7 linked regions of the Coturnix japonica genome follow. The protein of the gene in region 7 binds, or shares a complex with, the protein of the main gene of each other region. Links are inferred from orthologs where the notes say so. Each region holds a gene or a part of one and is shown on either strand. Other genes may lie near its edges.

What was found.
Region 1: the proteins of guanine nucleotide-binding protein G(i) subunit alpha-1 (region 7) and RGS1 are in contact, whole or in part, in a crystal structure (PDB 2GTP), measured with the Homo sapiens proteins. The link is inferred for Coturnix japonica from reciprocal best matches to the Homo sapiens genes GNAI1 and RGS1. Residues at the interface, in NP_002060.4 of Homo sapiens: Val179, Lys180, Thr181, Thr182, Gly183, Ile184, Val185, Gln204, Ser206, Glu207, Lys209, Lys210, His213, Ala235, Glu236, Asp237, Glu238; in NP_002913.3 of Homo sapiens: Ser105, Glu106, Phe107, Ser108, Glu110, Asn111, Ser143, Asp144, Ala145, Ala146, Gln148, Ile149, Asn150, Ile151, Asp152, Phe153, Arg156, Leu181, Lys184, Asp185, Ser186, Arg189.
Region 2: the proteins of guanine nucleotide-binding protein G(i) subunit alpha-1 (region 7) and S1PR1 are in contact, whole or in part, in a cryo-EM structure (PDB 7VIE), measured with the Homo sapiens proteins. The link is inferred for Coturnix japonica from reciprocal best matches to the Homo sapiens genes GNAI1 and S1PR1. Residues at the interface, in NP_002060.4 of Homo sapiens: Ala31, Arg32, Glu33, Val34, Leu194, Thr219, Tyr320, Phe334, Asp337, Ala338, Thr340, Asp341, Ile343, Ile344, Lys345, Asn347, Leu348, Lys349, Asp350, Cys351, Gly352, Leu353, Phe354; in NP_001307659.1 of Homo sapiens: Arg78, Met80, Arg142, Thr145, Met146, Met149, Lys150, Leu151, His152, Asn153, Arg231, Ser232, Leu235, Thr236, Phe237, Lys250, Leu254, Thr257, Thr314, Asn315, Lys316.
Region 3: the proteins of guanine nucleotide-binding protein G(i) subunit alpha-1 (region 7) and PTAFR are in contact, whole or in part, in a cryo-EM structure (PDB 8XYD), measured with the Homo sapiens proteins. The link is inferred for Coturnix japonica from reciprocal best matches to the Homo sapiens genes GNAI1 and PTAFR. Residues at the interface, in NP_002060.4 of Homo sapiens: Arg32, Asp193, Leu194, Glu318, Ile319, Tyr320, Phe336, Thr340, Asp341, Ile343, Ile344, Lys345, Asn347, Leu348, Lys349, Asp350, Cys351, Gly352, Leu353, Phe354; in NP_000943.1 of Homo sapiens: Ile52, Arg115, Ala118, Val119, Pro122, Ile123, Thr125, Ala126, Gln127, Ala128, Arg222, Asn223, Val226, Arg229, Ala230, Met233, Val234, Thr297, Lys298, Arg301.
Region 4: the proteins of guanine nucleotide-binding protein G(i) subunit alpha-1 (region 7) and CHRM4 are in contact, whole or in part, in a cryo-EM structure (PDB 7TRK), measured with the Homo sapiens proteins. The link is inferred for Coturnix japonica from reciprocal best matches to the Homo sapiens genes GNAI1 and CHRM4. Residues at the interface, in NP_002060.4 of Homo sapiens: Arg32, Leu194, Glu318, Tyr320, Phe336, Asp337, Ala338, Thr340, Asp341, Ile343, Ile344, Lys345, Asn347, Leu348, Lys349, Asp350, Cys351, Gly352, Leu353, Phe354; in NP_000732.2 of Homo sapiens: Asn67, Arg130, Cys133, Val134, Pro137, Leu138, Pro141, Ala142, Ile218, Ala221, Ser222, Ser224, Val226, Arg394, Lys397, Val398, Thr401, Ile402, Cys456, Asn457.
Region 5: the proteins of guanine nucleotide-binding protein G(i) subunit alpha-1 (region 7) and HRH1 are in contact, whole or in part, in a cryo-EM structure (PDB 9LRD), measured with the Homo sapiens proteins. The link is inferred for Coturnix japonica from reciprocal best matches to the Homo sapiens genes GNAI1 and HRH1. Residues at the interface, in NP_002060.4 of Homo sapiens: Arg32, Asp193, Leu194, Asp315, Phe336, Thr340, Asp341, Ile343, Ile344, Asn347, Leu348, Asp350, Cys351, Gly352, Leu353, Phe354; in NP_000852.1 of Homo sapiens: Arg125, Ser128, Val129, Pro132, Leu133, Leu136, Lys137, Thr140, Ile213, Val217, His220, Cys221, Arg409, Lys412, Ala413, Gln416, Leu417, Cys471, Asn472.
Region 6: the proteins of guanine nucleotide-binding protein G(i) subunit alpha-1 (region 7) and CX3CR1 are in contact, whole or in part, in a cryo-EM structure (PDB 7XBW), measured with the Homo sapiens proteins. The link is inferred for Coturnix japonica from reciprocal best matches to the Homo sapiens genes GNAI1 and CX3CR1. Residues at the interface, in NP_002060.4 of Homo sapiens: Glu28, Ala31, Arg32, Glu33, Val34, Asp193, Leu194, Phe336, Thr340, Asp341, Ile343, Ile344, Lys345, Asn347, Leu348, Lys349, Asp350, Cys351, Gly352, Leu353, Phe354; in NP_001164642.1 of Homo sapiens: Val52, Ala55, Leu56, Ser64, Thr66, Asp67, Leu70, Arg127, Ala130, Ile131, Ala134, Ala135, Met138, Asn139, Asn140, Arg141, Gln144, His145, Thr217, Leu218, Asn223, Lys226, Ala227, Lys228, Ala229, Ile230, Leu232, Tyr293, Gly297, Glu298.

The regions. Positions count from the first base shown.
Region 1 is NC_029523.1:3,509,340-3,513,571, forward strand, and holds the start of RGS1 (regulator of G-protein signaling 1), read right to left. Parts: upstream 2,801-4,232; 5' UTR 2,668-2,800; coding exon 2,564-2,667; intron 2,189-2,563; coding exon 2,105-2,188; intron 1,478-2,104; coding exon 1,416-1,477; intron 834-1,415; coding exon 670-833; intron 1-669. UniProt on the Homo sapiens protein: Regulates G protein-coupled receptor signaling cascades, including signaling downstream of the N-formylpeptide chemoattractant receptors and leukotriene receptors. Inhibits B cell chemotaxis toward CXCL12.
Region 2 is NC_029523.1:10,029,675-10,033,770, forward strand, and holds the start of S1PR1 (sphingosine 1-phosphate receptor 1), read right to left. Parts: upstream 2,801-4,096; 5' UTR 2,661-2,800; intron 2,559-2,660; exon of another isoform or gene 2,102-2,558; intron 2,070-2,101; exon of another isoform or gene 1,874-2,069; intron 1,671-1,873; 5' UTR 1,599-1,670; coding exon 459-1,598; 3' UTR 1-458.
Region 3 is NC_029538.1:1,410,523-1,414,792, forward strand, and holds the start of PTAFR (platelet-activating factor receptor), read right to left. Parts: upstream 2,801-4,270; 5' UTR 2,725-2,800; exon of another isoform or gene 1,351-2,724; intron 945-1,350; 5' UTR 762-944; intron 1-761. UniProt on the Homo sapiens protein: Receptor for platelet activating factor, a chemotactic phospholipid mediator that possesses potent inflammatory, smooth-muscle contractile and hypotensive activity.
Region 4 is NC_029520.1:21,114,985-21,118,996, forward strand, and holds the start of CHRM4 (muscarinic acetylcholine receptor M4), read left to right. Parts: upstream 1-1,212; 5' UTR 1,213-4,012. UniProt on the Homo sapiens protein: The muscarinic acetylcholine receptor mediates various cellular responses, including inhibition of adenylate cyclase, breakdown of phosphoinositides and modulation of potassium channels through the action of G proteins.
Region 5 is NC_029527.1:2,863,085-2,867,293, reverse strand, and holds the start of HRH1 (histamine H1 receptor), read right to left. Parts: upstream 2,801-4,209; 5' UTR 2,691-2,800; intron 2,293-2,690; 5' UTR 2,242-2,292; intron 934-2,241; 5' UTR 812-933; coding exon 1-811. UniProt on the Homo sapiens protein: G-protein-coupled receptor for histamine, a biogenic amine that functions as an immune modulator and a neurotransmitter.
Region 6 is NC_029517.1:40,718,417-40,722,565, forward strand, and holds the start of CX3CR1 (CX3C chemokine receptor 1), read left to right. Parts: upstream 1-1,349; 5' UTR 1,350-1,461; intron 1,462-1,726; exon of another isoform or gene 1,727-2,090; intron 2,091-3,402; exon of another isoform or gene 3,403-4,149. UniProt on the Homo sapiens protein: Receptor for the C-X3-C chemokine fractalkine (CX3CL1) present on many early leukocyte cells; CX3CR1-CX3CL1 signaling exerts distinct functions in different tissue compartments, such as immune response, inflammation, cell adhesion and chemotaxis.
Region 7 is NC_029516.1:10,212,501-10,216,000, forward strand, and holds part of guanine nucleotide-binding protein G(i) subunit alpha-1, read right to left. Parts: intron 2,990-3,500; coding exon 2,860-2,989; intron 1,550-2,859; coding exon 1,396-1,549; intron 537-1,395; coding exon 346-536; 3' UTR 322-345; exon of another isoform or gene 222-321; 3' UTR 1-221. UniProt on the Homo sapiens protein: Guanine nucleotide-binding proteins (G proteins) function as transducers downstream of G protein-coupled receptors (GPCRs) in numerous signaling cascades.

The sequences.
Region 1 (4,232 bases), on a different chromosome or scaffold from region 7:
GGAAAAACAATTGTCGGTTACACATTAGAAATGTATTCTGTACCTGTATGTTGGTATTGACAGCAAATTAGTTCCTGGACTTAGAATTCAGTGTGATTTTTGGTAGCTGAAGTGCAGAATGAGGAAATGTTAAAGTTTATAACCCAGTCATGTGCAATAAAAATACTGTTTCTTTAGAAATCAGAGGCAATAAAACTAAATGATAGAGAAAGTAGTAAAACAACCTCAAGTTAAAACAACAGGAGAAATCTTGTGTAGGACGTGTCTCCAGTTAGGTATGCAATTGATACACACAACTTTTAATTCTCTAGCGTGCCCCCATATTTTAAAGGGCTGTTACAACCCATAGCATTCCTACTAGCAAGGTTTACTTTCAGGTATCTGACTCTAAGCACCAGCAGTAATTCAAACTGGGCTGACTCAGCATTGTGTGCTGATCCACTGGCTCTGTTGCTAGCACTGTCACACTGCCTGCATTGTGTGGCTCTGTCTGTGAGGTCTGATTATCTCACAGCTGCATACAGCAGTGGCACAAGCGTGCTTGTAAAACGTGTGGCTGGATCTTCTTCCTGTCTAACTGAATGAATGTACGCACATCTCAATGCTTCTATCTTCTGATTTCTTTTCAGTATCTCTGTGATAAAACTATGCAGGTAACACTGAACTTACCTGTTTAATAGCATCTGATTGAACAAACTCCTCATAAATCCTCTCTGCTTTGCCATGTAAGTGGTCAGCTTTGGTTTTTTTGTAATCTTCACAGGCCAGCCAGAACTCTATGTTCTCCTCACTGAACTCTGATTTCAGGAACTCCCGAAAGACACCTTGACCACCTGCAGCCAACATAAATACACACATAGAGCATGATATTTGTGTTTGGGGGGGGTGAAATAAAGAGTTCGTAGCAGGGGTTCTGTTGAAATCTTGAGTATAAAATCTTGATGGGATGCTCCGTTCTTCCCTTCTTTTACATTTTGCAAATATTCCAGTTCCAAGGGTAATGGGACTCTTCCTAATGACATCTAGGGGCTTGTAGATCTGGAACCTGGCTACCAAATCACATCCCTGGATTCTAGGCTTCCCTAAATGGAGTCACGTAGGGTACAGCTGAAAACAAAATTCCAAATTGATTTGGTGTTGTATGCAGGCTGAAAAGTGGTCAAAAAAGCATTGATCTGGGCCTGCAAGGGTTTATTTACTCTTCTAGGAGGAGGAAATGGGGATGTAGGGAACACAAAGCCTTAGGAGGAAATTAGAACGTAGCAGCTGAGAGTGACTAAAAGGCAACAAGCCATTCTCTGTCAGTGTTTGCACAATGCTACAGCTTTGCATATTTGGTGAACTTCGGATTAATAATAATGATGATGATGATTCTTCAGAACAAGGACAATGTAATACTGAAGTAATGTACTTACTTTGGCTGGCCAGGAGCTTTTCCAAAGACTGGGACCACTGTACTACTTCCTCTGCAGAAAGCCTGTGTTGACAAATGAAGGAAAAGGTTTGAGGCAAGAAGCCATGTGTTTTCTTTTGTGTGTTTAAAGGAGACAGGTTTTATTATTCTATTCCAGAAATATGTACTGTGTGTTTATTAAACTTATGGCTTTCTCGGTGCAGATGTGAGAGCCCACACTGAGAAAATAACCAGAAAAATGGAAACATAGGGGTTTAATGGTTATCCTGAATTCTATTTCCAGAGAGATGAGCTTTTACTGTGACTATCAGCAAATAATATTTTATCCGTGCTACTTTTTCCTTATTTTTGAAATGAGACTTGTAATTCCCCTGTTATACTCTTGTATGTGAAGCATCCCCTCCTGTAAGCCATTATAGAATGAGTACAGTGTGCCTCTGAGGAAAAGAGATTTAAGTGAGGTGTCCACTCTGCCCTCATTTGATGCAAACAAGAAACAGCTTCTAATTCCACATATAGTTTCTGCTTCCTAACATTCACCTCTTTTGAAAGTCCCAGCTGTTGTTATTGTATTAGAAATAACTTCTAAGTGTGGAAGTAGGATAAAAATTAAAAGAAAACAAGTTTGACTATTTAGTAATCTAACTGTATGTTTAAATTTGTCTTTACTTTTTTTTTTTCTGTACTTACATGACATTCCTGGTGTTAGAAGACTTGATCCCAGATTCAAGATGCGGTACCATGCACCTCAAATAGTTCTTGAGGTCTGCACCACTGAAAACAATGAATAGGCATTTGTAATCCATTGGAGTTATAGATGCATTTCTTTTCTAAGTGAATTTCTTAAAACTTAAAGGCCAACAGCTCCATCCTATGACTGAAGTCTGGAAAGTCATGTATCCATGTAGTTATTTTTTAAAGACTAAGAGACTCCTGGCGTCTCCAAAATCTCATCCTGCTTACTTAAATGAAAGAGCTGGTTGGTATTAGCTCGAACTGTTTCTAGCAATGCTATAGTCCTGGCCTTTAGGTGGGCTTTATAATCCTTTAGCCTGAAAAAGGTTGTGAATTCTTTATCTCCAAGAGTTAGTATTATTTTCATTTCTAATACATTAGAGTTTATACTAAGATATATATACATATACTTACAAAGCCTTTTGCTTCTTTTTATGGATTTTGCCTTCTGCGAGCTTGCAGTCCTCCTTTCCATTTAATTCAGTCATGTTGTTATGGGAAAAAAATAATCCTGGCATTTTACTGAACTTTGATGGGAAGCGCCTCTTGCAGCGATAATCCTCCAAGCACCAAATGTCAGTTTTCTGCCTGCTGCTGCCTTTTTATTGACGCAGGCAGCCCCACTAGTTGGTGTGAACAGATCTGTTTATCATGTAGCCTTCACCACAAACTGTGGAAGTTCCCTTTTTTTCAGCGCGCGGTGACGTGAGTCTTTTGAGAAAGAAAACAGACAGCAGCGTCTCGTGGTTGAGGTTAAACCGGATGAGACTGATTTACTTTAGGTTTGTTTTGTGTGTCCGTGATACTGAAAACCCCAAATATCCCCTCTAGAACTTTGAATTCTTCTCTTTCTCTGGTGAATTCAAATCAGTGTTTCTTCTTGAGTTCATCTAATGGGCCCCAAATGTTGCAGTTTAACCTTGAAAGAATTCACCTGTTATGTGTCTGGTACACCATATATGTTTTAGGATTGCTTTCTTTTTGTGGGTCAAAAGGAAAACAAGAACTGTGTACTCAAAGATATGCCAATACCTATGTTCCATATGTAGCAAACTATTTGTATGTCATTACCACAGAATCACAGAATGTCTTGGGTTGGAAGGGACCTTAAAGATCATATAGTTCTAGTCCCCCTCTGTGGGCAGGGTTGCCAACCCCTAGAACAGGCTGCCAGGGAGCTCATCAAGCCTGGCCTTGAATACTTCCAGGGACGGGGCACCCAAAATTCTTCTGGGCTGTGGTGCCAGCACCTCATCACCCTCTGAATGAAGAATTTAATCCTAATGTCTAACCTAAACCTTCCCTTTCTCAGTTTAAACCCATTCCCCTTTGTCCTGTCACTACCTACCTGCATAAAAAGTTGTTCTCCCTCCTGCTTGTAAGCTTCCTCCAAGTACTGGAAGGCTACAATGAGCCTTCTCCAAGCTAAACAAGCTCAACTCCCTCAACCTTTCTTCATAGGAGAGGTGCTCCAGCCCTCTGAGCATCTTTATGGCCTCCTCTGTACCCACTCCAACAACTCTGTACCAGCTGGTCTCCAAAGATTACTGTGTTAGATAAAGACATGTGATTTGTTTAGCCACATGTACTGTGACAATATGAAATGTTTTGATAAGAAATAGTTTTGGAGGAGAGAAGGGTGAGATTACTTGTAAGCTCATTACCATAATTCAAGAAAGCCTCTGTAATTTTAGGCGATTCAGATTAGTATAAAGATGGATTTAAGGTTCAGAACTGTTGTTTTAAAGGCAGTGTGATCATTGTAATGTGTGTGAGGGAGGTGTCCATTCTTTCTCCATATATATACTTGAATTCTCCTGCAAAGAAAGTACCTTGAATACAAAGCAAGACACATTGTTACCCCAAAGAGAGAGAAGTTGCCTGTGTTTATTTGTCTGAAGTTTAGAGGTGTAAGTACTTCATCTCATCCCTGGTCATCTCAATATTTTGATTTTCTGGACAGTTTTAGACTTTGTAACTAATGCTTACAATGTTGATTCTCTATAAATAGCTCATGAATTCTTTGTGTCAGGCTACATATGGTCATGGCAACAGAGAAGTTCCTCACTTATTTACAGTTTCA
Region 2 (4,096 bases), on a different chromosome or scaffold from region 7:
GAGCCATCGCTAAACCCAGTACAGAAAGAGCTTTGTGTCAGTGGTTTGCTGCAAGTAAAGGAAAAATAACTTCACATTCTTCTCACGGGGAAAAGAAAAAGAAAAAAAAAAAGATTCATTCTCCCTCTGCCTCTTCCCCCACTCTCATTCTCTTGCACACACCAGGCATCACTTCCCCAAGGCATCAGTCTTTCATAGTTACTAAGGAGATTTCAGGATATGAATGCGCCTGACAATCCTGAGCCGCCTCAGTGCAAAGACAAAACATGCTCCAGGGAAATGGATTTTCGAGCCAGAACAGCGTGTCCCATTTCTTGAACTCCGGCCTCGCAAGCGCACCATTGGCCTCGTTAGAACTAATGCTACTCGCTCCTCAGCCCAGCACTGCTGCAGCGAGCAGGAGGTGCCTCAGCTCCCAGTTTCAGAGGAAGGCTCTAAACACACCTCCATGGTCACTCCTAAGAAGATGAGGTAACGTTGCCTGAAGACATGATGGTTTCAGGACGGTCGCCTTCCTCCTTCTGCGGGTGGGAGGAATTGTCCGACTTACTCCGGCTGAACTCCATCCCTCCGATGATCGGCCTCTTGAATTTAGTCCCAGAGTCTGTGGGGGGACATTTGCAGCAGCACAGAATCTTGATGAAAGCCCTCCGCATTTCTTTGTTTGTTAAGGTGTAGATGATAGGGTTCGTGGCTGAATTGAGCACGGCCAGCACTAAGAAATACTCTGCTTTATACAGGATCGGGCAGGTCTTCACTCTACAGCCCACATCCAATAAAAGCAGGATGAACAAGGGAGCCCAGCAAGCAATGAAGGCACTCAGGACTATGATTACTGTCTTGAGCAAGGCCAGTGACTTTTCTGAGCTCCTGGTAGCTTTGGTAATGTTTTTCCGAAATGTCAGCCTACGGCTCCTAGTCCTCACCATGGAGTAGATCCTGCAATAGAGGACAACAATAGAAAGCAAAAGGCCGGTGAAAACTGTGGTGCAAAACAGAATATAGTGCTTGTGATAGAGCGGCAGCACCGTGGAGCAGTTTGACAAGAGGCTGATGCAGTTCCAGCCCATGATCGGGAGTCCTCCAAGTATCACAGAGATAACCCAGCAGGCACTGATCAGCAGGAAAGAGCGGAAGCTGTTGCTGCCATTGTGGAGCTTCATCTTCAGCATGGTGATGTATCTCTCAATGGCGATGGCCAACAAGCTGAACACAGAAGCTGACAAGGCGACAAACATGCTGCCCTCCCTTACGAACCACTGGGAAGGAGTGAGGCTGTAAGTTTTGTGTCCGGAGAGCAGGAGGTTGGCAGTGTAAGCCACGCCAGCCAGCAAGTCTGAAAGAGCCAGGTTCCCAATGAAATAGTACATTGGTCTGTGAAATTTCTTGGTTTTCCAGATGGTGAGCAAGACAAAAATGTTCTCCAAAATTATAAAGCAGCAAATGATGATAAAAACCACCGACGTCACTTTTATTCCACTGTCCGCATTCTCATTTAGCTTCCCCGTGTAATTATAGTGCTCTTTGATGACATAGTTGACGTCGGTGTTGGCGAGGCTGCTGACCACCCTCATTGGGGCGGTGGTGCCGGAGCTCATGGTGCCGCCAGACACAGAGCACAAACCCGTGGTGGCCCCGCAGCTCCCCGCACACGCTCACAAGCAGCAATCCTGAGAACAAGAGGCAAAGCCCACGTTAGGGGATGGCAAACAATCACGTAACCAACTAGAAACAGTCCAAAACAATCTGCTGATTGGATTGTTCATCAGAATCACAAGTGCAATCACAGAAAAGTCAGTTTTATTCATCTGTTATGATATGCTTAAAGATAGTTAGGCATACTAAATAGCTAAAGCCTGTAAGACAACTTTACCTGCATAGGTAAAGCTGGAGTCAGCAGAGACCGCACTGCTGGACTTCTTCCAGCGTGAAAGATCTGAAAGCTGCGCAGCAGCAGGATCCAGCCTAACTTAATTCTTTAGCAGGAAACACAGCACACACAGCAGCAGAGATTTAGAAAGGGAAATGGGCTTGACTCGCTTTAACTGCAGACTGTACAGAAGCCTGCAAAGAAATTGCTCGACAAAAGAGCTCAATTCACCTCCGTTCTGAAAGTCTGAACACGTTTCGGGAGGGGCTGGGAAACAATTTACTGTGCTAAAGGTAATTCATCCATGTGCGAGAGAGCATCCAGAGCTGTAAACAGGAGAGGCACAGCAGCCGAGCAGCACGGACGGGCGTTAAGGAGCTGGGAGAAGTAGAGAGAAACGAGACAAGTACTTAACAGCCCGCACAGCAACCTGTTCTGTGGGTCTGACACAAAGGAACGGCAAAAAGAACTTTGTGTTGCAAATAATTAGCATCGTAAGCTTTGAAAACAAATACGATTAAGGAATGCAGATGTAGAGGGAACTCCCTTTACGTACAGGCGCTTTCTAGTAGACACTTAAAAAGAATTAAAGGTGTGAAATCAGGCAGGAGAAAAAGAGCGTTCAGAGCCGTCAAATTACAAAGCAAACGGAGCAAAGCCGGAGGGGTGAGTCCGGCGGCACAGCTCCGCGCTCGGCTGCCGCTGCCGCCCCGCTCCCGGCTCCCACCCGCCGCAGCCCCCCGAAGCCCCCCTTCCCTGCCCGTCCCCGCTCCGCCGCCCCATCCCGTACCTCGCTCAGTCGCACCGCTCCGCCCGCACGCAGCGTCCGCATCCTGAGCGCCGCTGAGCGACTCCACCGGCCGGCCGGCACTCGGTAGTTTTAATGTTCCTGCGGCAGAGGCTCCACACCCTCCTTTCTAACCCCTCCCTGCGTACAGGCTCCCCGCCCGCAGGACCTGCACGCCTTTATAGCGCCGGCGGCTGCGGGCGAGAGAAGGGCCGACAAGGCAAGCCCAGAAGAGGCGGGACCGGCGGAGCCGCCGCTCAGCCCCGTCCCATTCCGTCCCGCGGGACGTCTGCCCTCGCTGGGCAGGGAGGCGGCGTCGCGGTCCCGGTTCCCTCCCTGCCCTGCCGCCGCCTACCCCGCTTCTCGGCCGGGGAGGCTGAGCACGGGAACCTGGCTGCCGACTGAAGCCATCATTTGCCCCTGGCTGAGGGCTCATCTTACGCTCCTTGCCACCACAAACACCACTACTGATTGGGCTTTCAACATGGGAATAAAAAAAAAAAATCTCAAAGTTCAGAGGATTCTAAAGTTTTATGTAAAGAGTAATGAGCTATAAGTCTTTCTTTTTTTAACAGCTGTAGCACTGCCATCACACGAAGACTGAGAAAGAAGTGAATTCAGGTTTTATAGCTCCTCCAGAAGCACCCACCTCAGTGTATGTGACTCTTGGTTACCTTGAGTTGATCACAGTGCAGAAATTTCCCTCTCCCTTTCTTACTCTGCTCTTTGTAACTCCAAACTGAAATGCAAGATAATATCACAGTGGATCAGAGCACAAGGTATCGAGCCTTCTAGTCCATGGCACTGTGCATCTCAGTGAGCAGGGGCGGTCATTAAGGGAAGCAGCTCTCCTCTGAAAGAGGCTGCCCTGGAAGAGTCCCTCTCTACTCACATCTATGCGAATGCTCACGCTTCAGTTGCTCCACGCCTCTCCCAGAATGACTCAATAAATTACACTGGCAAACAGACGTTGAATCTTCCACCACCAAGCTAGAAACTTGAAAAGATGTTCAGCCTCTTGAGAGCCTGGAGGAAAATACAGCCGTTAAATTACAACTGTCAGAAAAGGCATGCAAGATAAATCATGCTCGAGGTTGACATATGCATCCCCTGCAACTGCCTGACGTACCCTAGATACTGCAAGCTTTCCCCCTTACTTAGCTAATCTATAGAAAATACTAAGTAAAAGTGCATTTATTAGGCATTCGCCTCTAGGAAATATTTCTCTCGTAATTTTAAGCAAGAGGGACATAATAAAGAGACATGCTTTAATTAAAGGACAGAGTGACTCAGGGTTTCAACAGCCAGATGTACAAGCTTTCATGTTTGAGTTATTGGTAAAGCAGCTGAGAGGGCTGTAGCCCAAAGAAGTGATGTCCAACACATTATTCATCAGAGGTTGTGTGAAATGGCTGGGCAGTTTCAGTTTGACTCTGAAC
Region 3 (4,270 bases), on a different chromosome or scaffold from region 7:
CTGCAAAGCCTTACACAGAAGGAAGACAGGTTTGGGGCTGCAATCTGACTGGAGAGATGAACGCATGGATGTGCTCTAAGTTGTAACTATGCTCTGGTAAAGGTGCAGGATGGGTGGTGGGAGGGGACGATGCCTTCTACAGCTCTGGCAGGGCTTGGTCAAACTCATCTACCTTGGCAGTAGTTGGCTGTGCAGTGCCAGTGCTGATAAGGTCCTTCAGGGAATCTCAGGAGAGTTTTTCCCTTTTAGTTTGCCAAGCCAGATGTTCTACATCATGCAACTAGAAGAGAGCGTGGCACCGCTCCCCTCCAAACATATTCAGACTTATTTCAGCCACTGTGACCATATGGGTCATCTCACTCAGTCTCTCCTCTTGAGGCACTTCCCCTTTGTATAAAACACAAACATTCTCTGTGCCAGAATGAGAGAAAAGTTGAATTGAGTTGAGTTCAAGCTGGCAGCTATGGGTCCCATACCCACTTGCATCAGGCTGCACTGTGTTACACATCCCTGGTAGCTGTAGCCCAAAGCCAGTGCCCAGTACACTCCCCAGAGCTTTCTATCATCAGCTTTACCGTGTGAAGAACTAGAGGTGGAAGTCACCAGCTGCACAGTGAAGTGGCTGGGAGAAACACAGACTCCAGTCCCAGTCTCTCCTATGGGCCATGCTCTCCCAGTAAGGATTCACTGGCTGATGGCCACGACATCAGATAAACATCTTTCAGCAGGAATAGCATCAATAAAATCTCTTTCGTGCTTACCACAAATGGATTCAGTGCAATGTGCCCATCTTCTGCTTGAGTAGAGATCGGTGTCTTATTGAGTGTGCTCGGTCCTCTTCTAAGAGTTATTTGCTCTGACCACGGTCTGAAAGGTCTCCACGAGGGCAGCTCTCAAGGAGAGGACACCAGAATGGGAGCAACTGCAGCATGACTGCAGAGTCACTAGAGAAGAGGAAACGTGTGACATCAGCTCAAAGGAAATGAGAAATAAAATAGCCTTGTAGAGGAAAGGCAATCAACCGCAGCAAAGATCTGGAAAGTCCTTAGAGCTGTTTCCTCAAAACATCTTCTGATAATCCCAAAGGAAGGCAGGGTTGGAATTGTCCTTTAGGAGCAGAATAGGAATCCACTCCTCGTCCCTGGGATCAGGTGGCATTTGAACAACCTTCTTCTAAATAGACGAGTGGCAGAAGCCAGAAGAGTTTTGACCCAATAACTTGAAGGAAGGGAAGTGCCAGGAGACTTGTATACCTCCCAGATAGACTCGTTCTTTAGCAGTCTCCTTACATTTGTGTTCGGTACAAACAGACCCAGGATTACAGCTGTGTCACATCTGCTTTGATCTCAGGTACATTCTGCAGGCACTGGGACACCACAGCATGGCAGATCTTCTCCTGGACCACTCGCCATCATGTTCTTACCACCACGACTGGGGCAGCCAGAGGAGAACTCATCACAGGGATGCAAGTCGGTGTGGTGCACAGGAGGATGCCAGTGATGAGCAAAGCTGCCGGTACAGCAAAGCTTCAGGTACAGCCCCAGGTAGGCCAGCACATTCCAAACTGCAGCTCCCATGCTGGGGGTTAAGCTTCATGCAGGAGGCACTAGCAGCTCTGCAAAGCTGAACCAAAGACCTTGGTCCTCCTCAAGTGGCCAGAGCCCTGTTTGTGCCCTTCCTGTGAGAGCGATTCTGGGAACTTACATTAAAAACAAATTAAAAGCACTCCAGGGAGGCTGGCTGGCAACTGGTCCCTGGCTTTGGACAGAGCAGCCGGTGAGGATGTCATGTCACTGCAGGAAGGGGACCCTTAGCAAAGGCTGCAGAACTGCAAAACAAAGTGTGCTGTCCTGAGCAGCCAAGTTCTTAGAGGAAATGAAAGCCTGGGACGTCTGGGGCTGGGGAGGAGTTCTGGTCAGAAATCACTCCCTGCTCTTCTGGGGCTGCGCTGCTGCTGTTTCTGAATGTACAACATTGAATCCAGCGTTCAAACTCATGGTGGTTTTGGGAGCCCGACTTACAGAGCAGTCTGGGTCTTCCAGCACACAAAGTCCACCTGCACTGAATGCCATCCTGAACGAGCCTTTAGTTTTATTAAGAAAAGGGGGAAAAAAGGATACTTTTGCTCGCTGTATCCGGGATGCTGGATCCTGGAGGAGCAAATCCCTGGGGATTGAATTAGTGGGAGAAAAACTCAGCACGGAGTGCAAGCAGAGCAGCAGCAATTAGAGCAGGTGGGCTCTGCACACACACACAGCTGCTTTGTTCAGTGACAAGGGTAGCAAATAGGAACAACACGAAGTGCCGGCAGGATGGGAGCAATGAAGTGCTGTGTGTGGGACAAGGACACAAGTGGGTGTGAGCCCTGCCAGTCCCAGGCAATGGGTGAGCTCTGCAGATGTGCCCTGCGTGGAGCCAGGCAGGCTCTGGGTGGTTTTGTTACACGAAGCCCCCAGACAAACAGCCACAGGCTGTACTACCACCACATCCCTGTGCTTCCACTGCTACTCTGTGGTTGTGAGCTCCCAGCAGGGCACAGGGCCGTGCCACCACTCAGGGCACAAACACACACATCTGCTGGGGGCACTCAGGCAGAGAGGGTGAGGGCAGCCTCGGGTCAGAGACCTCAGGGGGATGCACATCCACACAGCAACGAGACAGAGCATAAGGAGCTGGTGAGCTCAGGAAGGAGGGAGGTGAGCAGAAGGGATGGGATGTCCTTACCTTGGGGCTGTCCAGCCCAGCAGGCGCTGGTCCTCCGTGAGCAGCAGCGTTGAGCCAGGACTGAAGGAGCTCTACCAGGAGGAGCAGGGACAGGAAAGAAGGCGCTGGTTCGCAGGTGGGTGACTCACTTCCCTCTTGGCACTTGCAACATGGCTCGGATATGCCCCAGCCACACCCTGGTGCACAGCACGGATCTCACAGGGAAATGGCTGTGCAGGACAGGGGCTCGCTGCTCTCTGCCATCATCCTGTGCCCTGGGATGGGGCAGCCCCACCTGCAGCAGCTCCACGCCAGGGATCCGGGCTCAGCATCCTCCAGGCTTCTCATTCCCTTCCAAGCATGGGTAGCAGCCAGAGCAGCACTCCATGCTTGTTCCAACACCTCAGCAGCAGCAGCTGACTTACAGGGAGGCACTGTGTCAGCATCGGGCTGCTCAGCGTGGGAGTCCCAGAGGACCATGAGGAAACACTGGCCAGAAATCCACCCCAGGCTGCAGCCTGATGGATAGAACACTCTTTCTTTGGGGCTCGCTCACTCTTTGGCTCACTGACACAGTCCCAGGGCATTGCTCAGGTTTCATGTGGGGTTTCCCCAGGTGTGCACCGACATTGCACAGACTACAGGCATAACACCACTCTGAGTCACTTGTGCTGTAATGAGATTCCACATTTCCTTCTGCTGCCTGCATTCACCGCAGGCTGTTTAACAAGGAAATGCTGCTGGCTTTTCTTTCTCTTAACAAGAGCCAGCACTGGTTTCTGCAACGAAGGAGGCATGAGGATTCTGAGAGCTGGGACAGCCACAAAGGGCTGAACAACCACTGCTGGGAGGGGCACAGAAGAATGCTGGTCAACACAGCAAAGTGTCCAGACAGGGTGTGCCTGCAGCTGAAAAGGATGCGTCCAATAAGACCCATTATCTTCAACTTGCATCCTTGCTTTGGTGAGAACACTGTTAATATTAATTTGACTGGATCTGTATTTGGCAGGTCACCCTGTGGTCACTGAGGGATGTGGGCATGGTGGGGGTGGGGATGGACCTTGGGGTTTTCCAACCTTAATGATTCTGTGACTTCTCTGCCACTGTAGGACGTGCGGGTGTCTCGGATGGGAAACCTCAATGAAGCAGGTACTGCCAGAGAAGCTGGCAATGTGAAGAGTCCAGTTCAGTGGTATGGAAGAGGTCAAACTACAGATCTCCTGCTAGAAATGAGAGACTCAGCTCTCCCAAAGCGTGTAGCTGTTCTTGCCCAAGGAGTCTGAAAGCCTTTCTGTGCCCATATTGAGCACAACACCAAGTCCTAGCAGCAAAAGGCATTGCCAAAACAGCAGCAGCAGCCAGCAGCCAGAGGAGCACCGCACTGCAGCAGCAGAGCCCTGGGAAATAGGGAGAGATCTCAGCCCACAGCGCAGCCACACTTGCTGTCAGGCCCTGGGGCAGCAGGTTGGTGCACAAGACAAGAGACAACACCCAGATCCCATTCCTGTGTGAATCGCAACTGTCCCAGCAGAGGAGGCCTTGCTTCTACATCTGTTTATAGGAAGAA
Region 4 (4,012 bases), on a different chromosome or scaffold from region 7:
TTTCTTTATTTTTGGGGCGGGGGGTGGAGAGGCTGGTAGATGGATTAGCGTTTATCACCAGGCTGCCTACTGGAGGGTTATTAGAAGTGATTTGCAATGTAAATAGTTCCATCATCAGGCACATTTTCTTTAGACCAGGCCTGTATTTGATGAATATTAAAGCGCGTGGATGGTAGCGCTGGGTTCAGTGGGGGCTTCTGGGGGCAGGGGTGTGCAGGGGGGGAGGTGTCCAGGACGTACTGGAGGAGCTGTGTGTGATGGGAGAGGCCTGGAGTGCCGACCCTCGACAGCTGGGGCCCATCAAGCAGCCCAATGCCTGCGCAGCCCCATCGGCTTGGGAGCGCTCAGCCAAATGGGTGCACCCGGAGCGCGGCAGTTTCCCTGGCACTGATTTTCTTGGGGAGGGAAGAAGGAAGAGGAAAGGGTGTGGTGTGGTGTGGTGTGGTGTGCCTGAGGTCAGGGCTTTGGGCCGCCGCATCCAAGGCACTTTCTCTCAGCTCCCCCGTGACCGCAACGTCCCGGCTCTGCCTTCGGGCGCTGCCGCCGCGCCGTCCCGTCCCGCAGTGCCCGCTCGGTGCCCGCTGCCCGCCGCTGTCCGCGGTGCTGCAGGGCTGCCCGCCCTGCTGCGGGGTGCGGGGGGGCCGTGGCACATCTGCCCGGGGTGGGGGAGAGCACATGTGGGGAAAGGAGGGGGCACACGAGGGTTTCTTTATTTTTGGAGGGGGGCGGCGGCGCGGGGATTGGCCGCGGCACCGTGACGTTGTGCTCCCCCCTCCGTATCCAAAGCTTTCCCCCGGCGTTTGTGGGGGGGTGAGGGGGGGACACATCTGGGGGCGGCACATCTGGGGGCGGGAGAGGGAGGGGGCGGGGAGGAGATGTTGGGAGGGGGGAACCGGGCCGGGCCGCCAGAGCCGGGTCCTCCCCCTCCCCCCGCCCCTCCCCGCCCTCCGCCGCTCGGCGCCGCCGGGAGCCGGGTGCCGGCCGGGGCCATGCGTGCCGGAGCCCCCGACGGCGCGGCGGAGCTCTCGGCGCTGCACCATGGCCGCTGAGAACCACTCGGCCGCGGGCGACGGCGCGCCCTGGGGGCTGCCCGGTGAGTGCCGCGGGGCCGGGGGGTGCCGAGGGTCTGTCCGCTGGGCTCTGGGGAGATGATGGGGTACGCGTCGGGGTGCGCGGTGCAGGGCTGGGGAGCGCTCGGGAGTCGTAGGGGCTCTCCTCCAACTTTCCTGGGTGTCCACGAAGGGGCCCTTCCTTCGCAGCAGAAACCGCCGTCGCTTCCCCTCCTCGGGGGGAGCGAAGAGGTGCGGGGCTGCACCCGGCGGCGGCTCTGTCCGGGCAGCGCCGCTCCTTGGTCCGTGCCCGCCGTGCCCCGTCCCGCGGCTCCGGAGCGTTCGCTTCCCCGGTAACTCCTCTCGGACGGAGATTTGTCTCCCGGGCAGGACGCTACGTGCGTTTTTGCCTTTGCTTCCCCTCTGGTTCTGGGACGAGATGCCCTCTCCTTTGGCTACTTTGTCCCTCCCTACCCGGGACGCGCAGCGCTGCGCAGAGCCCCGGGCCGTGCACCGCATGGAGCTCCCCGCGGCCGATGGGTCGGGCAGCCGCACGCACCTCGTTCCCAAAATAATGACATTGGCTTCAAATCAAGGGACGGCCCCTGGCGTGTTCTCAAATCAGTGCAACGCTCGGTTCTGTCCTTCCTCACTCTGAACCCCTCTGGCTTCACTGTGGCCGTGATTTCAATCTGCTACTTGCTGACACCGTGATTGGAGCGCTGCTTTTCCAGCTGCAGAGCAGCAGCCGCATCTCCGGGGTCTTACTGGGACCCCGAGCAGCGATGGGATGCTCTGAGCGTTGCTACTCCCAGCACCTGGCACTTGGGCACCTGCCGATCCCCAGCTGTGTTGCTGCCACACTGCCCAGGGCTGCGGCTGTGTCACCCTCACGGGCAGCCCAAGGAACAACCACAACAGCCCCATGTTGTGCCCTGCATCCACTGGGCAGGGACGCACAGGAGGGGCACCATCAGCACGGTGTGCTCAGCCACACGCCGTGCCTGCGGCAGCAGGTCGGTCTGTGTTCTTTCATAGAAGAGAAATGAACTGAAATGATTAATTAATGCTGTGATCCAATTACTCTGAGTTTGCAGAAGGGGCATGGTTTTTCTCTTTAAACTGTCCCCACGAGGGTCCTATTGATATCAGTTTTTGTCATAGTTGTGGGTTTTTTGCTTTATTCTTGTTTGTTTGTTTGTTGTTTCTAATGGAAATGACAAACATCTCCCCAGGAAAACGCAGACAAAGTCAGGTAATAAAAATAACGAGCTGAGGAGCGGCGGTGCCCAGCAGGCCTCAGCCCCGGAGCTGCTGTCCCCTGACATGATGAGATACAGCCAACAGTGCTGAGGGCAAGTGGGCACTGCAGGGCTGGGGGTGGGGGCAGAGTGGCAGTAGAGAGAGGGCAATGGGAGCTGTTTGCAGCGGGTGCCGCCTTTGGCACCAACACAGCTCGCCTGCCCATGTACACACAAACATGGCATGAGGTTCAGAGCCCAAACAGCCCCGCTGCCCCTTGATGCTCCAAACGGAGGCATTAAAGAGCATTGTCTGTCCTCTGTTGGCCATGGGGATGTGCTGCTCTTGTTCTCCATCAAACCAAGGGAGGTTTTCTTGTGTTTCAGCATCCATCTGTGCTGGCTCTTGAACTGTGCAGCTTTGGAAGCCAAAGGTGTGCTCTGGGGCAGTGAGACAGAGGGATTTTGCACTGAGCCATTCCTGTTTTCTTCCCCTCCCACCTCCATCCCCACTCTTCAGCCTGCTCTGGCATCAGAGCCTGCCCCAAGCAATGGGGATGCTCAGCACCTGAGCACCACTGGAGCTCCTTCACATTGGCATTTGTGGGCTCACTGGAGCCTGCCCGGGGTTGGCATTCCAAGCAGAGCCGCCTTGGCCCTGCACTGCTGCCGTGACGCAGAGGGGCCAGGGGAATGCAGGAGCCGTGGCAGCTGTTTGCTCAGCCTCAAGAGCTCAGCAGAGGAGCTCCATCGGTCAGCCGGCAGGAGGGGCAGCAGAAGCCTGGCCTTTAAAGGCAGAGCCCTGCGCAGTGGGCAGGCTGCCCCAGTGCTGCTGAGTGCTGCAGGCAGTGGGCAGTGCCTGGAAGCCGAATGCTGGAGATCCAGAAAGGCAGCCCTTCTGCTGCCACCATGGCCTTAATGTGTTTTGTGACTCCTCAGAGGGCACAACAGCAGCGGGCATTGGCACTGCCTGAGTGCCATCAGGGCATGGCAGTGGTGGAACTGCATGGCACTGAGCTACATGTACCTGGAGGGGAGTGGGGTCCAAGCATGAGGCCAGGCACAGAAATCACCTCTGTCACACCTCAGAGGGCAGGAGCTGAGTGTTCCTGCAGCGCTAAGGGTTAACGCTGCCTTGGTCTGGGTCCAGCAGTGCTGGGCTAATCGGGCTGTGGGAAACTCTGAGGTTTCAGTTGTGCAACGCCAAGGGCGGAAAACATCACTTTGAGCAAACACGACGTCCATGTCCAGGTCACAGGGCGGATCCCGAGTGGCAGCTCGGCGCCTGGACCCTGAGCCTCCCCATGCCTCCTCGGCTGGGAGCGGGGCCGCTGGGACGGGAAGGGATGGGATGGAGCAGGATGGGGTGAGAGGGATGGGACAAGTGCCTTGTGGAGTCTGTCCAGGGCAGGGCTGAAAGCAGCACGCAGGGCAGCTACGATCCCTGCTCCCCCACAGCTGACTTGGTCTCAGTCCCAAGCTGTTCTTGCTGCTCTCTCCCCCAATCCCTGTCTCTCCCACAGGTGTTTGATCCCAGACACAAGGAGGGTGCAGCTGCTGTGGGCAGACATCTGTTGCTCTCAGCCTCTTCCCCTTTCCCCACTGTATCTGCACCTGGCTGCTGACAGAGCTCCAGCCCGGGGCCATAGAAGACCAAGAGCATCCCGTTAAGGCAAGCAGCATTCATGCAGTAGGCAGCAGCAGTGTAGCTGTGCCCCAGGC
Region 5 (4,209 bases), on a different chromosome or scaffold from region 7:
AAGCCACTGAAGACTTGCCAGAATTAGTCAACTGAAGTTTTGCTGCTGTACTTTCACACTCAGACATTTGCTTGTCTTTATGAGGTGCATTTTCATGTAAGATTTTTGTGTCCTTTGTCTTTCTGTGAATTACATTTTTGTTTTCAGAGAAAGAGCAGTGTGATCCATTGACAACTTCTCGTTGTTGGTAGTGCTTTCGAACAGCCCTGAATATTTTATAGTAAAGCCATAACATTATGATAGAAGGCAGATAGAAATTGACAATGGCTGTCAACACTTTGAACCAAGTGACATGAGAGAATTCAGTTTCACAGTTTGCTTTTCCTTTACTTTTCTCATCATTAGCAGAATCACGCCACCATAGGATTGGGATGACCCACAAGGAAGAGAGCAACCACGCTCCCAAAATCACCAGCGATGCTCTCATTTTTGTTCTATACTGGAGATATTTCAGCGGTTGTTGAACTGAACGATAACGGTCTAAGCATAAAATGAAGAGACTGAAAATAGATGCAGTACTGGCCACGTAATCCATTGACAGCCAAAACAAACATGCTGTTAAGCCCAGAGTCCACGCATGGTTTAAGAGATAAACAATATTAAGGGGCATAACAGCTGCACCAACTATAAGATCTGCAATAGAGAGGCTAACAATGTATAAATTGCCAACTGTTTGTAGCTTCTTTTCAGTTTTCACAGCACATAATACTAATATATTCATTACAACAGTGATCAGTGAAATGCTAGACAGGAAAAAACCTAGAAGAGCTGAGTGAGTGTAATTTGAATTCTCTGTTGTGTTTTTTGACATCTTTTATACAAGAACAGAGAATGAAAATCAGAGAAGATGACCCAGACTTGGAAATTCAATCTTGATTTACACTCCTGGATGAAAATGTGTTGGACTGCTTTGTAATTTTTAATTCTGGAACTCTGGAAAAGAAAAGAAATATGCTCAATCTCTGTAGTTCTTGTCATTTTCCTTTTTAGGTCTTCCCTACACAACATGTTTCTACAATATTTTACGTAATGAGTAACTTAAGATGTTAATTTCCTATGAAAACTACTGAAGCTTAGCGTACATCTAAAAAGCTTTCTTGTGTGGAGAAATCCTGGTGTGAACAGAAAATACTGATAAAAGTTGTATTCAGTTGTACACACATAAAATGGATGTATTTCCTAACTAATTTCCATAGATGAGCATATAATTTTATACTAATCAGTACCTGAAATATGAGGAGACCATACCAGAATAGAAACTAGAAAACAAAACCAAATCCAGACCTGTGAAGTCTGGTTTGGCTTATATAGAATGGCTCAAAATGCTCTTCTAAACTTCTATAGCTGCTCAAAAGTTAATGAGTAATAGTGAAGGGACAAAGATTTTTTTTTGTAAACAGTAGTTTATTCTGTAAAGAATGGTTACAATTTCTAGCATACAAGTCTTATTCTGTAAATACTCATGTCTATAAATGGCTTATAGTGGCTTTCACACACTATTCATGTATAAGGCCCTTAAATTTTTTCCCTGGTGTACTCATGGTATATACTTAATTGCAACTCACATCTTTTCTTTCTCTTAAAAATTCAGAGTGTTGAAAGCCCACATGAATTATTACAGTTTTTACAGAGGCTTACCCAGTGTCTTTTAATTCATTACCTTGTTCTGGGCTCTTAACTTTGTTTTGGATTCTTTGATTTAACTTAGGATTGACTTTCTGAAAGCATTATTTCTCCATGCATAATTAAGGACAGAGCATATATGTCTTTGCTATCTCTGGAGTTGGTATACTCCAAAATACATTCTGCTTATCTGAATTCTCATTTTGTTCAGTACTGATGCATATAAAACCATATATTGTAATGCCTAGAAATATATTTTAATAGTTGAAAACAAAGGACATGTTCAGGAGTGTATTTTTCTGTGCATTTCTATACACCTTAGTGACAAAGCCACTATATTCTCCTTTTTCACCATAGCTTCCCTGAGCTTCAGTAGTCTTTCCCAATCCTCACTTGCTTTTTAGGGGAAGGGAAAATAAGTAATACTGGCCTACACAATTAATGAGAGCTACAGGAATAGTATCAGGAACTAATTGCTAAACATCTCCTGGCATTCAATTACTGACAGAAACTTGGCTAGGGAAACATTACTTATTCAAAGAGAAAAAATGTCTGGATGTGGTTCATAATCTGGAGACCCTTAATTTGCAGGAAAACAGTTGCAGGCTCATTACTTACCAGCAGAACCAGTGAATGCAGTGGCTTCTGTGCTGTTGACATAGGAACATTCTGAAAACAATTTAAAAAAGAAAAAAACAAAGAAATCAACCTTGGAGATGCTTAACTGAACAAAAGGAAGTGGGGAAACTCAAGCACACCGCTATTGTTTTTCAGAGAATGGCTCCTGAATTGACAAATGAAATGGTGAATTCTGTGCATAGCATATAAAATTGAAAGAAATCAGTTTTTTAAAAAAATATTATAATCAAACATCTAAAATATTCATGTCCTCTGATGCAGTAAGTTAAGCATATGAGCAAACACCCAGTCAGCAGCCTAAAAATCTCATCTAACCTGATATCAATCAATATCTTGCTATGTGCAGCTAGGTTACTACTGGAGTCTTCAACCAAAGGCAGAAGTCAACATTTTTGTCTTTGACATATTAAGTTTAAAATGAAGCCCACCTGGAGAGTCCTCAGCAAAACTGTGTAGTCCTATCCACTTGTCAGTGCATTTCCTTCTTTCTTTCTTTTATTTAGGGTCTTCATTAATGTTTGTCATGGACAGCTGAAATCTGTTCTGAAGAATACAGAACTGAAGTAATTTTTTATGTACAATATACTCAGCACAGTCAATATTATTAAATGAGGATCTCAGACATCCCATTCTGAATTGCTACCAGTGCAACCTAAATGCAGATATTATGAACATGTAACTTCAGTGTCTTTCAAATGCTGGTTGCATGAAGTAAGACTTGGAAACCCATTGGAAGTCTTATTATTTTATACCACTCCCAGCTCCATAATGCTGCCGTCTTCTGATGACTAACCATTCATTTTTATGTACTAAAACTGAACTTTCCTAAATAGAATTTGTCACAGTATACATGCATTCAGTAGTCTACTCAACTACTTATGTACTTACAGCATTCTTGATCAATCCTCTTTAGCAGTGGGCCTATATTTCATTGTGAACATTGAAACCAGAAGAGCTAACTCAATTAACTGAATTGGGTTTGTATAAAGGAAGCTTTACTGTCTGATACAGAATGTCAGCCTCTTGTGAAGACTGATAGACATCTATGAATAATTTCTCTGAGTTCAGAGGAAATGCGGGAAAGGAGGGGAAAACTTACTGTTTTACAGAGGAAGCCACTAAAGCAACAAGGAGATATTTACTGGAACCAGATCCTTTAAGCTACCTCCCACTCTTCTCCAGTCATAATTTGCTTGTTAGATCTCACACAGTTAAAATGAACTGGCAGAGATCAGTGTCTCTTAATGCTAGAGAGCCTGGCGTCTTGCAAATAAACGTAATAAATGAGGAGCAGCTCAATTAAGAAGCCCAATTCCTCTTCATCATTCCCGCTCAGTGTCTGCACAAGAAGGGCTGGGGAAACAAAATGAACAACTGCTTACAGTACAGTTTTGGAGTAAGTTATGGCCCCAATATACCCCCCCAACCCCCTCTCAACTGTCCTCCCCAGGATGCTCTGGTTACAAAATCACAGAATCACAGAATTATGTATCTAGATTTTTTTTCCCTGAAAAAGTTTGATTTCTGTTAGAAAGTTGTGGGATGTTAACACTCAGGAACAAACTGCTCTTCATCTGGCTGGCAGCTGATGGCAAACGAAAAGCCATGAATATTTGCTCGTACGGGAAGCCCTCCGCTGCTTGGGGACTCTGGGCTGTCTAGGCTGCAGTGCTGAGGGGGGAATGCAATCAGCTGCCGGCTGGGATGCTCGGATAAGGAGTAGCCGAAGTGCCTCGAGAAGGGTAGTTAAAGATACAGTGCTTTGGTGGCTGAGGACCCGGGACTTTGCAATGCCTTCCTCTCGGCCCCCCGAGCTCAAAGTGCAGCCGCTCCCTTCTCCCCCGCCCGCCGCCCTGCCCTGGTTCACTCACCGCAGGACGATACGGGGAGAGGGACCCTCTTTTTCCTTGCTGCACCCCTTGGGTGGGATGCTCTGTCCCTCCTCGG
Region 6 (4,149 bases), on a different chromosome or scaffold from region 7:
ATTAGTGCAGTCAGAGAATGCCAGGCCAGCTCTGGTGTGAGCACTTCTGTCAGATGCCATGTAAGACAAGATACCTCCAAAAGAGCAGTGCTACCAAGCCAACAGCAAGGCCTGCTGTGGTACCTCTCACTCAGAGCTATTTTTTCTCTCCATGTGCTGGTATGCACCCTGACCAACTGAGGTCTTCACATCCCATCTGCCCCCACTGGCTGCCTGGGTATCTATTCCTGTTTTCAGGGATCCTGCAGCACAGGTTCAGGAGGGGCTTGTAAGCAAGGCCAGCATGTAACAGTGGTCCCTTATTTTCTCCTTTCTGTACAGGAAAAAGCAAACGAAACAAAAACGGGCTGTTGTAGAGCAGCAAGGGAATAATGCCTGAAACTCCTACCTGTTTGCTGACCCATGTTTGGAGGTAAATGCAGTCTTTGTAGCAAACGTGAGTGGGGTGCCAAGGTAGCACATGGGAAATGAACTGTATAGTATATGAGTCACAGAATATCCTGAGCTGGAAGGGACCCACAAGGATCACCAAGCCACACCTGTTACAGATTCATAAGTTGAGAGGTCATAGATAGGTAGTTCTGGAAAGTAATTGAGTAATAAACTTTCTCCATTCTCAGGTCCTTTTATTTGTTTATCTGTATCTATTTATTTATTTATTGGTACTGGAAATCAAATATTTGAATAATAAACCTGTTCAGTTGTCGTGTCCATCCATTCATTCATTCATTTAACAGTGAAATCTCAGATTAAATCTTTGTTTTGCAATGTCAGCAGGCTCCCAGAGGCTGCTCATAAATCCAACTAGAAAAAGACACTACATGTATTTTGCTTATGGTATAAACAAGAGATATGCAACTTCTCTTTGACTTGTGTGCTTGCTTTCTGAATTTCTAGAGTAAAAGCATTGGAACCAAAGAGGGGAAGCAAGGTCCAGGTGAAGTGTGTTCCCCTTTAAATACAGCTGGTTGAGTCCTCAGGCTCCCCTTCTCCTCATCCTCTGGGACAGGATCAAGGAGCAATTTGGGATGCTACTGCAGCTCTACAAGTAGGTTAACAGTCCTGGAAAGGTTTCTCCCTGGTAGACAACAAGAGAAAAATGTAGAGCTGGTTGAGAACTGAAGACCAAAAGGCACAACCTGCACCCTGCAAACTATGGTGACTGTGGTAACTCAGATGTGCTGAGCAGGGTCTGAAATAGACAGAGAAACTGAGCAGAGCTGTGGGTCTCCACTCACCTCTCTATTTCCTTGCAGCACCCCCAGTAATCCAGCAGCAATACCAGCACAGCATGCCCAGTCTCTTCTTGATTTCAGAGGCCCACCAACCCTCTCTGAAGCCTGGCGCCATGGAGAAATAGCCACAGTCTGACTCATTCATGAACCTGAACGTTGATGCTGGGCTTACCAACTGCTTGCTGTGGAGGCTGGTTCCAAAAAACGAAATGAATCACCACCTGAGGTGAGATACCCATTTAGTGATGATATCTCAACACAGTACCCACCCAGGTCAAGGGCTGTGCAGGTCTTTGCAGACCAACAGATCAGGGCATGGCTGTCGGAGCAGGTTACAGTAGGGGGGTTCTTTTTGCTTGCACAAAGCGTGCCATCTTTGTGTGCAAGAGTGCCAGCTTTTTGTGGCTCTTCCCTTCTCTAGCTCTTGAGTTAAGACATTTCCACCCCTAGGTGTAGCTTTTCTCCCTCTCTCTCTGTTTTTGCCTCTCCAGATTCGTAACAAAGAACAACTGCATCTCCTACTGGCAGGCTGGAAATCTGCCGTGTCAAGTGACATGAGAAGACTCAGAGGCTCTCTCTGCTGGGTCTTGCTTCAGAGGCTTCTCCTTCCCTCTGAAACAAGTGGAGGAGAACAAAGACACAGGGTGGTCACACTCCAGGCAAAGCTTTGGGGGAAGAGATGGCTGCAGTCAGCACTAAGCATCCCAGATGCACTGTTTAGGCTCATAAACTGTGTGAGGGTTGGCATTCACCCCTCAGAGAAATTGTTTATAGATACTTTTATTGTGTCTTCAAAGTGAAAGTCAAATATATCATAGGAGGCTTAGGGCAATAAAAAAGATGTTTGAGATCCCATTACTGTGCATTTGGATGGAATAAGAAGGCTCATGATCTACAAAGGATGTTTTGGACCTTGATATGAGGCTTTGAACCTTTCAGCATATGGCTTTCAGCTCAGGAGCTTGATCATAAAGCTTTGATATCTCAGTATGTATGTTTGATCCCCAAAAGAGTCTTCAGGCCCTAAATATCAGCTTTTGGCCCCCAGCATGTGGCTTTGGGCAGTTGAAGGGAGGCTCTGAGCATTAAAATAAGGCTTTGGGCTTTCACAAAGGTGATGATTGACTGGTGAGTGGAAGGGGGGATGGCCATTGAAGGAGACCTTTGGTTCTAAAATTCAGGCATTGGCCCTTAGAATGAAGTTTGTCCTGTCAAAAAACATCGTGGTTGCCCAAAAGTAGCCTTCATGCCCCAAAATCCTCAAGGTCTGTATTTGCTGTAACTCCAAAGCCACATTCTGGTGCTGCAGCTCAGGGATCAAGGAGAGCAGCAATGCCCTGACATTCCCATGCAATTGCATCTGCCCAGGGAAGCTTCCAAGAGCCAAGAAAGACTTTTTCTCTAGACATTCAGCACCCAGACACCTACCTGCCTGTGCTTCATGGATGACAACGAACCAGGATTATCCCTCGGGTTAGGAGGGTCTCTTTCTTCTTAGCTTGGAGAAGTAAAAGGTGCTTTTCCCCCTTGTGTGTGGATAAGGATGAGAGCCTCTCCAGCAGCTTTTTCATATTTTCTTATCCCTGGGCTATGTCCCAAGCAGTGTGTGAAATGAGGCAGAAAACAAAGCTGTTCTTTCTTGATGCACAGTTGTCTTTTAGGCAGCATTCGTTTCATATGTATTCAATCTACACTGAAAACGCATGTTAAGATAATGAGTAACACTCTTATCTGGGCTTATCACATCAGTGTATAACAAAAAGTCTTTTCTGCTCCCCAGGGGGATCTGTTGAGGAAGTGTGTAAGTCTGCATGACTTAGTTTCTCTTCATTTGAAGCCCTGCAGTTACAGCTTCTGTGGGTATCCCTTTTGGCACATGTGTAGAGCTGCAGGGATAACTTCAAAGCATTGTTGGCATCAAGGAAGATTAACTCATCTTTCTGAATCTGGCAGTTCTCACAATGAGGTTTCCTTAATGCTGTGTATTAGAAGTCATCTTCTTGAAAGCTGAAAGCGTGTGATTTTGGCAGTCAGAGCTGCTACTTTCAGTGCATGAGGAAAAACCAACTTTGAGCCTTTTGATACAAAAAATGAGCCTTTCCTACAAAAAATGGACAGTTTCTTACCTCTATTTGTGAAGGAGAAGAATGAGGCTGCTGGCACCCCAAATATGCTTAGCCATCACACCTCTAATGCAGCCCTGAGCATCACATGCTCAAATCCAGAGCCAAAAAGGGTCCTAGAGGAATGAATATCCTTAAATTCTCCAGCCCAGGGGACTGCAGGGAGATGTGCTCAAAATCTTATTTATGAGCAAAGAAGCAGCACAACGTATTGTGAGTATAACGATAGTCTCAGGGCTCTAAACGTTACTCCAGAAGTCTGCAGAAGAAGAAAGAATATCAGTGCAGTTAAAATTATTTTGCATGCGCTTTCTAGCCCTTTTCCTTCCCCTGCTTCTCTGGGTCCTAAAGCTGGTGGCTTCACCCTGGCGGTGGTATGAAGGTGGTGTCACAGCAAGCTGTAAGCATCGCTGGAGGAAAGCTGCCACCATGCTGCCCACACTGCCCCAGCCCCTGGCATCTGAGACCATCCCCAGTTGAGAGGTTCAATCCATTCTATCCCCTTGGTCCCAAGTGCCCTCACAGAGAGAGTCAGCATTTGGAAGAGTCACCCTCAGCACTGTATATTAAGGGGAAGGTGTGAAGATCCCAGAGGATTTCTTTTCTCCTCTGTTCTGCTTCTGCATGCACTTCAGCCCCACGGACTGGTTGTGTCCTGCCTCACTATTTCACAACATGACAGTGGGACCACAGCTGAGCACATCAATACCCAGCTCAGCTCTGAAGCTCAGCCCAGGAAGCTGCTCTGCCAAAGTTCAGGTTTCATAGGGCAGGCATAAATGCAAGAGAAG
Region 7 (3,500 bases):
AGTATTCCGTTCAACATTTATACAAATACATTACTACAAGTTTACATACAGTCAAAAGACATCTCAGTGTTACCTAATTACTTAAATTTACAAGACAAACATAAATAAAGCTGTTAAAACAGGCAAGTACAGTACTGATCTATCATTCAGAACAACATATTTTGTATATCTTTCACCTTGAAATCAATCAGATTAGAATTGTGCGAAGTCATTCTTCAAACCTAAAAATAAAATAAAGAGAATTAAGTATATCTATGCAAGTTTCACACAATATGGGCTTATTCCAAATGCCTAAGTCCTTTTTTCAGGCATGTAATTTACCATTTAACAATGTCTTGTCTGTTCTTAGAAGAGGCCACAGTCTTTAAGGTTATTTTTAATAATGACATCAGTTACAGCATCAAAAACAAACTGCACATTTTTCGTATCTGTGGCACATGTGAAATGAGTGTAGATTTCCTTCGTGTCTTTTCTCTTGTTAAGATCTTCAAACTGACACTGAATGTAAGCAGCTGCTTCCTCGTAAGTGTTCGATCCTAGAAGGAGAAAATTGCTCAGTAAGCAGGATTCAAAAAGGAAGAACTAAACTTACATTGTATCTTAGAAGGAAGTACTTACTCTGCAACAACCACTAAAAACTGAAAAGGAGTATGTTGATTTAAATAATTTCACAGCCACTACTTTACAATATAATGTGCATCTTGTTGAAGGAAATCTTCTGGACAATTTTTAAACTATTTTATTTTATTTTAATAATATAAAGTGCTGCAGAAAGAGTATTTATAAAAACGGTAGATGGAGCAAGTCATTAACAACTTATCACTATTAAACAGACTGTATATGATTCTTTCATTCAAGTTATTCACTTTCAATTCTCATGTTTTTGACAGTTTTTCTTTTCTTCAGACAAAGAATAGTCTGAAATTACAATGAAAATGATACATAACAGGTCTATGCCTTGTTAAATAAAATTGTCTTTTGTTATATATTTCCTGAACAAGTCACCTCTTCTAATATCTCTGTGTATATATGCACCCTTCAAATAAACTCTCATGTATCCTCAGAGATTCCCACTAGGGGCAAAAAAAAAAAAAAATACACCCGGGTATAAAAGAATAGAATCCAGAATAAAGAACAGGCTAAACCAGAGTAGGTTGACAAGCTCTATGACAGCAACACCTAAAAACCATCAAGTGGATCACCATCATTTCACCTCATTAAGGAGACTAATCTGACTTCCACACTCCTTTATTCATGAATTCTAAGAGCATCCTAGCAATTTAAACTTTATTTAAATATTTTGTACATCTACAGTTACCAAATTCCTCCCAATTTGTTTATCAAAAATAAGATAATTTAACCCCAAATTACTTGACACCTGTCCATTCACAATACCTGCATATTCAGGATAGCAAATAGTGAGAGGACTCCTCTTGATCTTCTCCTCAAAGAGGTCCTTCTTGTTGAGGAAGAGGATGATGGACGTGTCCGTGAACCACTTGTTGTTGCAGATGCTGTCAAACAGTTTCATGCTTTCATGCATCCGGTTCTGTAATTTGGGGGGGGTAGGGAGGGGGAGGGGTGAAACACAAAAAAACAGACTTTATTGTATTCTACCAGAGTTTAGAAGTAAAATGAGGATATACATATCTGATTAATTACAACTAGTTAAGTTAAAAAACACTTTTTCCAGTATGCAGAATCACGTATTACCACAGGGATATACACAGTGCCCAAATAACACTTTAGAGGACTTGATGATCTTGAAGGCCTTTTCCAACTAGAATGACTTGATGAAATGATTACACTTTAAGCAACTACTTTATATTATTTTTCTTCATTTCCAGGCTTAAGTCTTTTTTAGTTTGTTAGGATTTTTTTGTGTGTTTTCACATTCTGCAATAATGATAGTCTAGAAAACTCAATGAGTGATCAGAAGTTGCCAGATATTTATCAGATATTCTGAAAACTGACTATTAACTTCAGCACACAGTTCAGATTCCAATATAATGAAAAAAATAGTTATGTAGAACTAGAGAATTAAATGATAAGGCTCTTGGGCTTGTTTCACCTTAAAAAAAAAGGAAAAAAAAAAAGTTACCCTAATTTTAACACTGTAGATAAATTATTCAGTATAAAAGTACTCTCACACTACTTCCAGACATTTAAGTAGATGGCAGGTATGATCTATTTTGACTAGATTTAACTTGAAAGTGCATTTCTTTCCTGTTTTGTTTTTCTTTCCCTCCAACTATTTTACTAGAAGCTGCAGAACAAGAGGAATAACACAGAAGCTTGTTAACGATTTACATCAGCATCACTTTAGACTACCCAGATAATAAAAAGCACACACTCTGTGTATATTGATGTGGGAGGAGTCACATCCTGAAAGAAGAGAAAGAATGGAAAAGGGATTTAAAGAGAAAGAAAATAAAGATTTCTGCAACTAAGGAAATAGGTTGGAGTACATTTATAAAGAAACAAAAACTGAAGGCTGGGGAAGGGTAACAAAACACAGCAGAGACAGATAATCAAAACAACTTCTTTGATATTCGGAGTACCCATAGAGACAAGGACATGTATTATTGACATCCTCAATGATTTATGTATAATTTGAAATTTATGAAAGAATACATCTCAAAAGAGTACTTGTCTCTAAGTACTCTTGAGAATAAAGAAATTATTTTTGAAACTTGAAAGCATGAAATCTATCATCAGTTCTCTGAAAACTTTTACAAAAAGCCTATCTATCTCATTAAAGAAGTATTTAGCTTCTTATTCTGAAAGAGGTATTTAGCTTCCCTTTCAAAATGCTTAGTTTCTAACAACTATTCCTTTCTTCAGCATTAAGGTACTTGCCATTTCCTCATCTTCAGCCAAGACCAAGTCATAATCACTTAATGCCACACAGAAAATAATTGCTGTAACCCCCTCAAAACAATGGATCCATTTCTTCCGTTCCGACCTTTGGCCTCCAACATCAAACATTCTGCAAAACACAAATACAAAGCAGGAAATAAACTTTGGATTTTCCAGCTTTCTAAACATGAAGTGATAAAATCTGAAACCATCAGCTGTGCAAGCCTGATCACAGAATTTTGAAAAACAGCATAAACTTTGCAGTATTTACTGTAATTTCATTTCTTAGTATAAGAAATAACTTCAAATTATCTAGGACTTAGAAGTCTTCCTAGACATTTCACAAAACATTAGAAAGTGATATAAAAGCAATATAAATCTTTTTCTTTTTTTTTTAAATGAATTATTATAAATAATTCCAGTAACAGTTAACTGTGACCTATAAAAATATTGTTAGCTTAACTAAATGCAAACTTTCATGAAGTTCTTCAATATTTTTCCCAAATGAATAATCCTAAGTAATAACATGTCAACAGTATAAAATTCTTTAACAGCAGAATTCACTCCATTTTAGTACTTGAAAAAATGCTATTCTATATTAAGTGTACTTCTTAAGTGACACTGAAAATTATTTTCAACAT